Arabidopsis thaliana: one gene and its partner. The protein of the gene in region 2 purifies or fractionates together with the protein of the main gene of each other region. This does not show direct contact. Each region holds a gene or a part of one and is shown on either strand. Other genes may lie near its edges.

Region 1 (6,328 bases), on a different chromosome or scaffold from region 2:
TCACCGACAAGATATACATTCTCGGGGAGGATAATAAAGTCGATGAAGTAGGTTCTGGAGAGGGAGAGGCTACAGATTCACTTGAAGGAATTTCGCAAGTTATTCTCAATTACGCTCCAAGTTTGGTCCAAATCGAGCAAGCCGGAGGAGGCAAAACAAAAAGAGGTGACGACTAAAACAACCTCTACATGTAATATTAGTTTTTTGTGTTTTTCTTAATTTATTTTTGTCATATTTTTTGAATAATCCCCTGATCGAGCGACCTGGAAGTAGAAGAGGCCCTTAAATTTTCTTGTTCATGTTCTTTGAATAATCCTTTGAACTGATATCTCAATAAGATTGTAATATTGTAGTTGTCCCTTGCTTGATTTACACACGGTTTTCTTTTTTTTTTAAGTTTTATGATCAAAACATGTCTGGTACAGTATATGTCTAGAGAACAAGTGTTGTGTCTAAAACTTCAACCATTTCTAATTCAATGACAAAAGTAACTCATGTTCGAAGCTCCGAGTTTCTTTTTCACCTAAGTTTCAAGTTGTACAAACAACTAGAAGTCATTATTACCCATTCGCATAAATCTAGCATATATTGGACCAAAACATAACCCACAAATTATTTAAAACCACAGCTAAGCTTGTGGTTTTTTTGGGGCATCCAAAGTTGAAACATATCAAATGTTTACTCATGATACTACACTCCTTGATTGTCGTTTAACCTAGTGTTATGCAAATATAAACGCACGCATATCAGCAAGAGATCCATAGAGTTTACTGCAGGGATTTTGACCAGCACTGCATCTTCCTCTCGTTTCAATTATGCATCCCCTGACATCAGCATGACAATCTAACAGTCAACCACAATTTAGTGGTGATCACATGGTTAAGCATGTGCCAATTACGTACCGTACCTTGTAGCTGTAAGAGCGGGTGCCTGCACCTTGGGAATCTGGATGTTTTCTTATGTAATCTACTGCTTCACCTCTGTATGTCTGCTACCACAGTTCCCACCTACAATCTTATATATGCATTTTCCTTCAATACTCCCATTTTCACCAGTATCCTCAAGCAAACTGCATGAAGAGGGTTTCCAATTATCTCAGAGGTGATCAAACAACAACTTCATCAAATTCTAGACGTTGGCTTGAAGGCTATTCTTAAGTTTGTTATCTCAAGTTCCCTCCTTGTATTCCACCAGAACAGTTTGTCTTTCTACTCAAATTTGATGGAGATTAGGTATTTACAGACTTCTTCTTAAACCCTAACTTTGTTTGTTCTACTCAAACAATTTGAGTTCCACTCAAGAGGTTATATATAATGAGGTAAAAACAACTTATCCACATCGATAACACAAAGTAAACCCGAGAGAAAAAACGAGACACTGACGCAATAATGACACAGACCAGAAGAGAGTTTTTTAGTTGTTTTTAAATTAAGATACTCCTACACGACATTGTACTTGCAAATCCAGAATGATCACACCATAATGCTTTGTTCAGACGTACTCGTTGACTCGAAAGGCTGTCACTTTCAAAACGAAATCTCTGGTTCTGAGCAGCTCAAACACACAGACGTCTCCTTCTCCTAAGTTGTTCTCTAGAGTGAATTCGTACCATCCTTGACTGAATTTGGCTCTCCCGGCTTTGTAGAGACATCGAACAGGCCATTGTTTCTCCGCAAGCTGGACTTTGATGAACCCGGAGATCCCACTTAGGTACTTCTCAGCAAACCCAGAAGGAAGATACTGTTGAGAGAAACAGAAACAGAAGGCTTCTTTTAGAGATCAGTGAAGACACCGATAAGATTAAGTCTTCCTAAGATGTTTTTTTATTACCATGATGCAACCTCTGTATAGATAGGATGGTCGCAGAACCACTCTGAAGAAAGGGTTTGTTGGTTCGAACGTTTTGGCTGCATTGATGGCTCTCTCTCTTTCTTCTGCAGTCACGGTTCTCTTTCTCGCAGAAGCACTCTCGTAGAACTTTGAACGGTTCTCTGGATCATCATCTCGCGGAGCTGATGAGTTTATTTCCTCTGTAAGGACAATATCAAAAGGATATATGTATCATGAGGAAGAATCTGTGAATCCTCTGAAAACGAGTCTGAAGCATTTCAAAGAGGAAAAGTGCTTACCAGGATCAGCATTTTTCTTCTTCCTCCCTCTCTTTTTAGGTATTTTTGGGGTTGGCGTTGGCTCTTCAGCTGGAGATAAGGAAAATATCAAGCATCAACCTCAAAAGAATGATAAGACGCGTAATCAGCGATAGATAAAGGGAATCAGTTGGTTATAAATATCACCTTTAACTGGTCCAGTGAACAAGGTTTGGATGGCTGAACTAGCATACCCTTTGTTGGCTGGTACTGTAGACTCAGGAAGTGGTGATGGGTACACAGAAGAAGGAAAGATGACCTCGGCATCTTCATCTTCAAGGTCTTCAAACAAACGGGCGCGTTTGAAGTGGTTGTGAGCGGAATCCATGAGACCGGTGGAATGGTAATTGATCTCAGAGTGGGATAAATTGAAAATGTAGACGCTGAAGGCAGAGTTTCCTTCATATCTAAAAATCAAAAGATAACCAATGCGAATGGAGTAACGGTCAACAAACTCTTGCCAACCATCTTGAAACCAAATTTTGTTGTCAGCTTTCCTTAGTCCTACACGCCAAACATGACCATCAGGTACTGTGAGTGCAACAGCAACCGAAAGCTCATCCTTGAATTTACTCACAAACTTATCTGGGACCCTCTGCACAAGCATGCCGGTATGAGATATAAAGAAGCATATAATGATATAAATGTCCACAATATCTATAAGAACAGCACAGAATATTGCGAGAACATCAAATCGAAACAGACATTTTTCAGCAAAAACATCCAATAAACACAGTAGCTGAAGAAACGACGGCTTTACCTAATTTAAAAACACAAACCAAAAGGCCATATTTCAGTTTAGAGAAGGCATCAACAAGGAGACACAGTCCATTAGTACACATGTAAAATGGTACATTTATCTCTGAATAGATTGATTACACGACTCCTATGATCTTATCACATTAATAATTTGCAAACTTGGTTCCACATAAATGCCTGTGTTAATCGAAATCATTATTCCAGAGAAAATCTAGTCACTTAAATGCCAAATGGAGAGCTAAGCAAATTTGGATTTGTTCAAAACAATGCTCTTGGGGGAATCTGTACAAGTGATGACTAATCACTGTATCAAATAAAGTAGACAACTTTAAAACATAAGCACAATACATAGAGACCTTCAAAACAAGTCAACTACTCAGTTTTAGGGATTCACTCACAAGCCACACAATACTCAATAAGGAGTCTAAGATCTCAGACATTCCTAAGTCAAACAGAGAAAACAGTCAAAATAGAGTAAACAAAACAGACATTTATAATAGAGAAACCATAAACAGATCTCAACTTTTTCTCCTCAGAAGAAATTTGATCAATCTGACAGAATCAAATCGTCCTCCAAAAGTCAAATCACTCAAAAAAAAAAAAAAAATTCCCAAACTACACACAATATGCTGTCAGAGTACAGATATACCATCAAATACCCAATTTCCCACCAAACACAACCAATGACCAAAAGAAACTGTCTTGCAGACTTCCATTGGAAACCCACAAATTCTCATTTGACCAATAAGACAACACAAAGTTCAAAAATGGAACTTCTTTTCATTACCCAAAACAGGGAAGAGTAAGAAGATAAAAGCACAACCTTGACTCGATTCTTACAAAGAATCAATACAAGTGAATTGTAAGAAATCAAGCAAGAGTGTCACAAGGCATAATCTTACAAACTCGTTCACCAGATTCCAAACCTTGAAAACCCTCAATTTCGCACAAAATCAAAACTTTGAAAGATGAGGAGAAGGAGAACAGAGAGAGAGAGAGAGAGAGAGAGTAAGTTACCAGACGTTTTTCTTGGATAGTGGATGAGAAAATCAACTTATGGAAGAAAGGGCGTGGCATGTTCAGACACAACAGTGACGAAGTAAGAAAAAATAGAAGAAGAAGAAGAAGAAGAGAAGACCAGAGAGTCAGATCATGAAACGACGACGGAGAATAAAAGGACAAAGAGACTAAGAGAGAAGAAGAACCCTTTCAGATCTGAAGGAGTTTTGTTGTGTTAAAAAAGTTCATTAGATTTTAGTCAAAGGGGTTACAACACAACAATCTCTCTTTTCTTTCTTTCTTTTTTACACACCTGACCTGAAGAGTGACCCAACCAAACCCAAGAAGATGAAAAAATTAAAAAAAAAAAAAAAAAACCAACTTGTCATAAAACGAAGCTCGAGCGAGTTGAATCTGTGTTAGCTCGGTAGACTCGTTGAGTCGAATCGGTAGGTCACTCGTGTGGTTTCTTTTATTAACTAATCAAAAGCCGACCGCCCCCACCTACTCCCCTTTTTCGACCATCTTTTTTTTTCTTAACAAATATTTCTTTTTTGTAACACGCAATATCTCAGAAAATATATTATTGCCTTATAACAACAAATATATTTGATACTGTTATATATACGTCCTTATTTGCAAACAGATCATACCGTTCCGGAAAATCTCAATTTTATTTAGAACATATAAAAACACTTGTAAACTAGTGTACCGTGAAGCCTATAGACAAATATAGGTGGAAAGGAAAACAAAACTGGTCTCCAAAAGAAAAGTCTTATCATAAACTCATGCCCACAGTATTAATGGTATGTATATACTTAGAGAATGACAAGTTAAAACATGTATAGAGAAATCCAAATACAACATGTATAATCGATTGCAACATGTACGTATATTCATGGCTACCTCACATGCATAAAGTTTTATGTATTTCTTGTATAAATCTAGCTACAGTTAATAGTTATACTTAAGAATAAATAGCCTATGCATACACACTTAAATCCAAAAAGAAGTTTAACCTCTCTAATGTATGTTTAGTATACTATTATTTCTCCTTAGAATATTGGAACTTGACTTGTAGTTAATTAGTTTGGGCTAACCGTTGGCCATCATTGGTCATAACATTATGTTTAAATGGATTCCAATTTATAGTCAGAGAGCCTTGGTTCTGTCTTCTGACAGTATCCTTATGAGCTGTAAGAAAATAAAGGGGTAAACGTAAACATTCCTCTTTTCACCAGTTCGCGTGCATTTTAGAAATTCTTGATGCCTAATTAAAAATTACAAAGCAACAAACTCGCTGATTTTTAAAAATAGAATCCAAAAGTAGATCCAATATCGCATGCATGTCCAAAAGCATTTTATTCAAGCATAATGAAGGAAATTGCATCGTAATTCATACATAAATTATTCAACGGTATGAAAATGTAGATAGAATCATAGAAAAGCAAAACATGTGTGTATATATGTATCACAGTAGAAAAAATAATTTGAATAATCAAGCTCTGAAGTGATTAATATGAATGTAACGTATCGTCAATTTGAAGTTTGTTGAAACACATTAGCTAGTATTCTTTGTATCTAAGCAGGTTTTGTCGGTTTATAAACTTCCTCTAATGGCTTAATCTTGGCTTCTTGTGACGGGCTGAAGAAGAATGATATTGAAAATCTCATTTGAATAACTCATTAACTTGTATGTTTACCACCACTCTGTGCTTGTGTATTCGTGGGTTAAGTTGGTGTTTTAGAAGATTTGTTAAATCTTTGAACCGTGGCAAGTTGAAGGCAATCACGTGATTTGTTTGGATGTATATTTTGTCTTTTGACAACGCATTTATCAACTTTTCAGATCGGTTTATTATTTAGGATTAACAAATGTAAAACACTGATATATATACACTAATGATAAATATTTGATGAGAATTTTTCTTAAATCCCAATTCGAATTTTAAACATGTGAAATTAAGAACTATCGCATTTATCAACATTAGGTCAGTCTACGTATATTTGGAAATGAAAAATGACGAAGATCGCAAATGACACAACATTCTGATGACCGTTTATTTTAAACATAAACATGTAAAATCTCGCGTGCATTTTGGGAAATATGAACTTGGCTAACTTATATAAAAAGAACGAATAGAAATCAACATAAGGTTTAATTATAATGTGATTAACTAAGCCTTGAAGTGATCAATCTGGATATTCTCAACCTCGAGTTTCTTGAAATCACTTCTGTTTCTTGAAACAAAGAACTTTCCCCAATTGTACTTTTTATAACAAGGCGGGTTTTCCTCACTTATAAGCTCCTCCAATGGCTCAATATTGGCTTCATGTGATGGGAAGAAGAAGAATGGTATTGAGAATCTCTCTTTGCTTGTATTCACGACCACTCTATGTTCAGCACTCCAATACTCATCATT
Region 2 (4,723 bases):
GAGTAAATGACTCATGGGAAGAACACAAAGCACTTGTTGACATTTGCTCGAACGTCAAAAAGAAAAACCTGAGATGGCGTCCCTGAATTGTCAACCTCTTCGTTTTCTCCATGTTTGGTCGATGAATCCTGGATGTTCATATTAAGAAACGAATAGATAAGGTTTTTGACAGGTCAACCATGGTCACAGGGTTATAGAGCAGGCAAATTTTACCTTTTCCTGTTTTTGTGATCTCCTAAGCTCTCTCCGAGCTCTTCTGTTTCCTTTTATCTGCTTCTCCTACATTTAGGATATTTGCAAGACTTTGGTTAGGACTCATTGGACTAACACAAGCATTTGATGGCATTGTCTTAAATCTCACCTGAGATGGCGTCTCTGGATCTTCAACTTCTTCGTTTTCTCCATTTTTGGTCAATGAATCCTAGACGTTTATATTGAAAACACGAATCAATTAGGTTTCCAACAAACCAACCATGGTCACAATGCTTCAGTATTGAGCAAGCTACATTTACCTTTTCCTGTTTTTGAGATCTCTTTCCCTGTCTTTGTGATCTTCTGTTTCCTTTTTTCTCCTTCTCCTACATTTAAGATTTGTGCAAGAATTTGGTTAGGACTCATTGACAAAACAAAAAGCACTCGTTGGCAAATTCTCTAATGTAACCTGAGATGCTGTCTCTAGATCGTCAACTTCTTCGTCATCAGTTCTAATCTTTCCTTCTTTCACTAATTTCTCCATACGAGCATGCTTCTGAAATGAGTCAAACGACAAAAAATACTATCTCATCAACTACAAGACTGATGAGGAAAAGCTCAAAACTAATCCCGTGCTTATCATCTACTACTTGATTCCAAAAAGGACCAAACACTCAAATGCTAATTCAAAGCTACCTAATTTACCTTTGATGAAACATGTGCTTGCATTGTGTTCTCATTCAAGCAAACAACGGTTGGACAATATCTGCATTTATAAACCGATTTGGATTGTATCATACAACCGAGAATATAGTTCTCTTCCTCTTCTTCGGGTGGTTCTTCTAAAAAACGATTCATTGACATCTTCTCCAATGTCCCACCATAGTCATCAGCATCAGAGTTATCATCACCATCATCAACATCAGCGTCTTCGCCAGCAGCTATAACAGAGAATAAGCAAAGATTTTACCAAAGGTTCTCTGAGAGTACAATCACAAGAGAACTAAAAGAGATAATTGCTCAATTGAAGAAGCAAACCTGGGGATTCATCATCTCCTGAATCATCACCGTCCTCGGAAACTTCTGCAACAGAGTCTTCTTCTTCAGATTGTTCTGATTCTTCCGTCTCAGGATCAGAGTCAGAAGAGAAGCACGATGAATCGGATCCACTGTCTTTATCACCATGCTCAAGCTTGTAAAATCGTCTCTTTATCATTTTTACTTCGTGTTTACTCTACAGAGACAAAACCCAAATTTAGAATTCGAAATTCTCCAACAAATCAAAAGTAAAGGAGCAAACTTCGGATTAAAGTAAATAGAAAAGAGGAGACTTTCGTACCGTGAGTTCCGCAGAAGAGAGCTTGGAGACTGAAAAGGGGAAAGCTTTGCTAAAGAGAAGGGTTTTAGGGTTTTTAGGTTATTTTTGTAAATTAAGTAACTTTTATAAGGGTGTTTTAGTCATTGAGTGGACAACATTTTATCCCAATAAATATACTTATTGAGTTGAAGTTAATCCTCTGCAGTTATTTCATTGTCCATCACCAATCGCCAAAACCGCAGAAAGGTCTGACCTTTGGATTAGCGGTGAGTAATTAGGGTTTATCATATCGAAATTTCTAGGGTTTCTTTTTCTTACTTCGGATTTCAGCAAGTTTATTGACCCGAATCTTTGTTTCAATAGAATTTTTTTGAGTTGTTTAAGTAAGAGTTGGAGTTTCGCTTTGATTTTTCGAGTTTGATTTTGTGGGCTAACTATGTTTATGCGTTTTTGGTTTCAGTGAGAGTTTCACAATGAAAGATAGAGAAAACGATGGAAATCTTGAGAGCAGAATCTTCGTGGGAGGGTTATCGTGGGATGTCACAGAGAGACAGCTTGAGAGTACCTTTGACCGCTACGGGAAAATCACTGAGTGTCAGGTCTTGTATCGATTCTCGTACTTTATGATCAGAAGTCTCAGAGACTCGTTTTGAAACCTGTGTTTAGTGAATGATACCTCTGAGATTGTAGGATAGTTTTGTTTGATGAACCTAAGACTCATCTATTCTGTAGAAGAGCACACACAGATATTGAGGTTTATTGACTTGTTGAAGGATGCAGTCGAGGAATTAGTAGAGCTTTCTTAGGAAGTAAACATGCATCTCAACCTCCTCTTGATCTGAAAATCTGTTTGAGAGCCGTATGTTTAGAAATGCAAGAGTTTTGAGATAGATCATGGCTCTTGTCTCAGCATCAGTGCAGTAATTTTGGTTTGACGTCACTGTGTTTTGTTGGATATTATGATTAAATTGCAGCTGAGCTCTCTTTTCAGTGGTTTTGACACCAATCAGGACTAACCATCTTTTATTCTCTTGCCTGTGGTATCTGCTTTAGTAGTCACTGAGATGGTTTTCTTGTACTCATTCATCATGAGCCACTAGTTGTTGTAATTGTAAAAGTACAGTTATTGGCACATGTAAGCATCTCTAAGTAGTCTATCAATACACCAAGATGATAAGTTTCTGGTCAAAAATGGTCTTGATCAGAATATTAGTCTTCTTTTTTAGGTCTTGATCAGAATATTAGTCTTCTTTTTTAGTGGAATTAGCATGGAAAACGCATTCCTGTGGATTTGTTGTGGGAAACTGATTTGAGGTAACAGGTCTGTTGTAAGGGTTAAAAGTATGGTTGGCTAGAGGCTAATCTCCAACATCGTTTTGCTAGGATTATTGTTGTGGTGATACTTCTTGTGGATTAGTATTTCTACAAGTATGCAGCTGTAGTTTGACTTTGTGTTGTGTGATTCTAAGGACTTGAAATGAAGTAAATTTGTGAATCTTGCTACCGTCTTCTGTTTGCTTGTAAATGTTCTGAGTTTGCCACTTCTAGGACATGCTATATGAGAGATAGGAATGTAATACATCTGCTTATTTCTTAACTCTAATGTAACATCTGGTTCTTAGTAATATATCTTGTTCCTGGCTCAATATGCATTTTAATAACATTATTGGTCTTCTTTGCGTACTTGTAGATTATGGTGGGGAGAGATACTGGGCGTCCACGTGGTTTTGGGTTTATTACATTCACTGATCGCAGAGGAGCTGATGATGCAATTAAGCACATGCATGGAAGGGAGTTGGGCAATAAGGTCATCTCCGTGAACAAAGCTGAGCCCAAAGTTGGTGGAGAAGATGTAGACCAATTAAAGAAAGGTGGAGGCTATTCATCTCGAGGGAAGGGAACCGAGGATGAGTGCTTTAAATGCAGACGCCCTGGTCATTGGGCTCGAGATTGCCCATCAACTGGTGACGATCGAGAACGGTTCAGAGTTCCCCTTGCGATGCGCTCTCGTATTGGAGACATAGATGGACACCGAGATCGCTATGGAGATCGTGATCTGGAGAGGGAGCGGGAGCGGGAGCGTGAGTTTGACCGCTACATGGATGGACGCCGTGACCGAGATGGGGGACGATATAGCTACAGGGACCGCTTCGACAGTGGAGACAAGTATGAGCCTCGTGATCACTATCCATTTGAGAGGTTTGTAGCTCTTGTCCTCAGGTCTAAATAAATGTTCCAACATGTGTTCTTTTAGGAAAGTCATGACCTTTTGATGTATTAACAATGTAGATACGCACCACCAGGAGACCGTTTTGTGAGTGATAGGTATGGGATGCCTGAACATCATCTTGAGAATGAATATCGCGGGAGAGAGAGAAGCTATGACAGGGACAGATACGCAAGGGATACAAGTGACAGATATGGAGATATGGGACCGATACGCGATGAGGGAAGACCCTACAGAAGCAGACCAGGTCCTTATGACCGTCCTAGCCGTCCTGGAGGCAGACCTTCATCATATGAACGTTGGTAGTTTGTTTTGGTTAACCAGATGTCAATGCTTATGCTTTGGGATTTAGGTCTATATCAGAGATAGAACTCGAACTCGAGATCTCTGTTATGCTTTTTTGTCGAATATTATGATTCTTCATCGCAGTAAAAAAGTTATGTTCTTATGATCCTATTGATTCCCATAAAGCAATTCAATAGATTAAACTCAAAATTGATGGATTTAAAACACTTGAGACAGAGTTAAGCATAGAACACTTGAAACAGAGCATAGCTTCACCATGAAAATTAAGAGAAAGGAGGAAACTTTGGCAATACAATGGAAGAAGAAGTGTTACACTAGCAAGACAAAAAGGTAATGCAATCTCAAATCTTCAATGAGAAGAGAATTAAAAAAGCCATCTTTAAGCTTACTTAAGAAGAAATCTCAAATCTTCAATCAAATCTCAAATCTTTAAGCTTTTACTAATGAAGTTCCCCGATGTAGAAATCTTCAATCATGTCGAAAACACGAGTGGCGTGTTGAGGTCCGAAGAAGCCATCAGTAGAATCATCACCAGCATGATCAAGAATAGCGTCACCACCAGGATGTTCTTCAACATAAGAAGTAATATCATAGACTTTATCTTTGATTATGATCCAACAATCGTTCCTTTTGTTATGTACTGCGACTTCACTCTTGCTGTAACTTTTTGGTCTTACCAC

The links.
Region 1: the proteins of AtRZ-1b (region 2) and VRN1 fractionate together in Arabidopsis thaliana (co-fractionation; one large-scale study listed by BioGRID). This does not show direct contact.

Annotation. Positions count from the first base shown.
Region 1 is NC_003074.8:6,547,586-6,553,913, forward strand, and holds VRN1 (AP2/B3-like transcriptional factor family protein), read right to left. Parts: upstream 4,450-6,328; 5' UTR 3,984-4,449; coding exon 3,924-3,983; intron 2,743-3,923; coding exon 2,295-2,742; intron 2,199-2,294; coding exon 2,130-2,198; intron 2,031-2,129; coding exon 1,831-2,030; intron 1,741-1,830; coding exon 1,502-1,740; coding exon of another isoform or gene 1,492-1,501; exon of another isoform or gene 1,180-1,491; intron 1,070-1,179; coding exon 967-1,069; 3' UTR 908-966; intron 825-907; 3' UTR 542-824; downstream 1-541. Other genes in the region: ETP1 (EIN2 targeting protein1), read left to right, coding at 1-176; AT3G19000 (2-oxoglutarate (2OG) and Fe(II)-dependent oxygenase superfamily protein), read right to left, coding at 6,083-6,328. UniProt on the Arabidopsis thaliana protein: Essential protein. Involved in the regulation of vernalization. Acts as a transcriptional repressor of FLC, a major target of the vernalization pathway. Binds DNA in vitro in a non-sequence-specific manner.
Region 2 is NC_003070.9:22,338,106-22,342,828, forward strand, and holds AtRZ-1b (RNA-binding (RRM/RBD/RNP motifs) family protein with retrovirus zinc finger-like domain-containing protein), read left to right. Parts: upstream 1-1,703; 5' UTR 1,704-1,776; intron 1,777-1,781; exon of another isoform or gene 1,782-1,893; intron 1,894-1,970; 5' UTR 1,971-1,983; coding exon 1,984-2,109; exon of another isoform or gene 2,110-3,068; coding exon of another isoform or gene 3,069-3,083; exon of another isoform or gene 3,084-3,114; intron 3,115-3,200; coding exon 3,201-3,709; intron 3,710-3,799; coding exon 3,800-4,043; 3' UTR 4,044-4,192; downstream 4,193-4,723. Other genes in the region: AT1G60640 (stress response protein), read right to left, coding at 69-128, 214-279, 362-421, 513-578, 662-748, 898-1,133, 1,231-1,408; CB5LP (cytochrome B5-like protein), read right to left, coding at 4,484-4,723. UniProt on the Arabidopsis thaliana protein: Binds RNA and DNA sequences non-specifically. May be involved in tolerance to cold stress.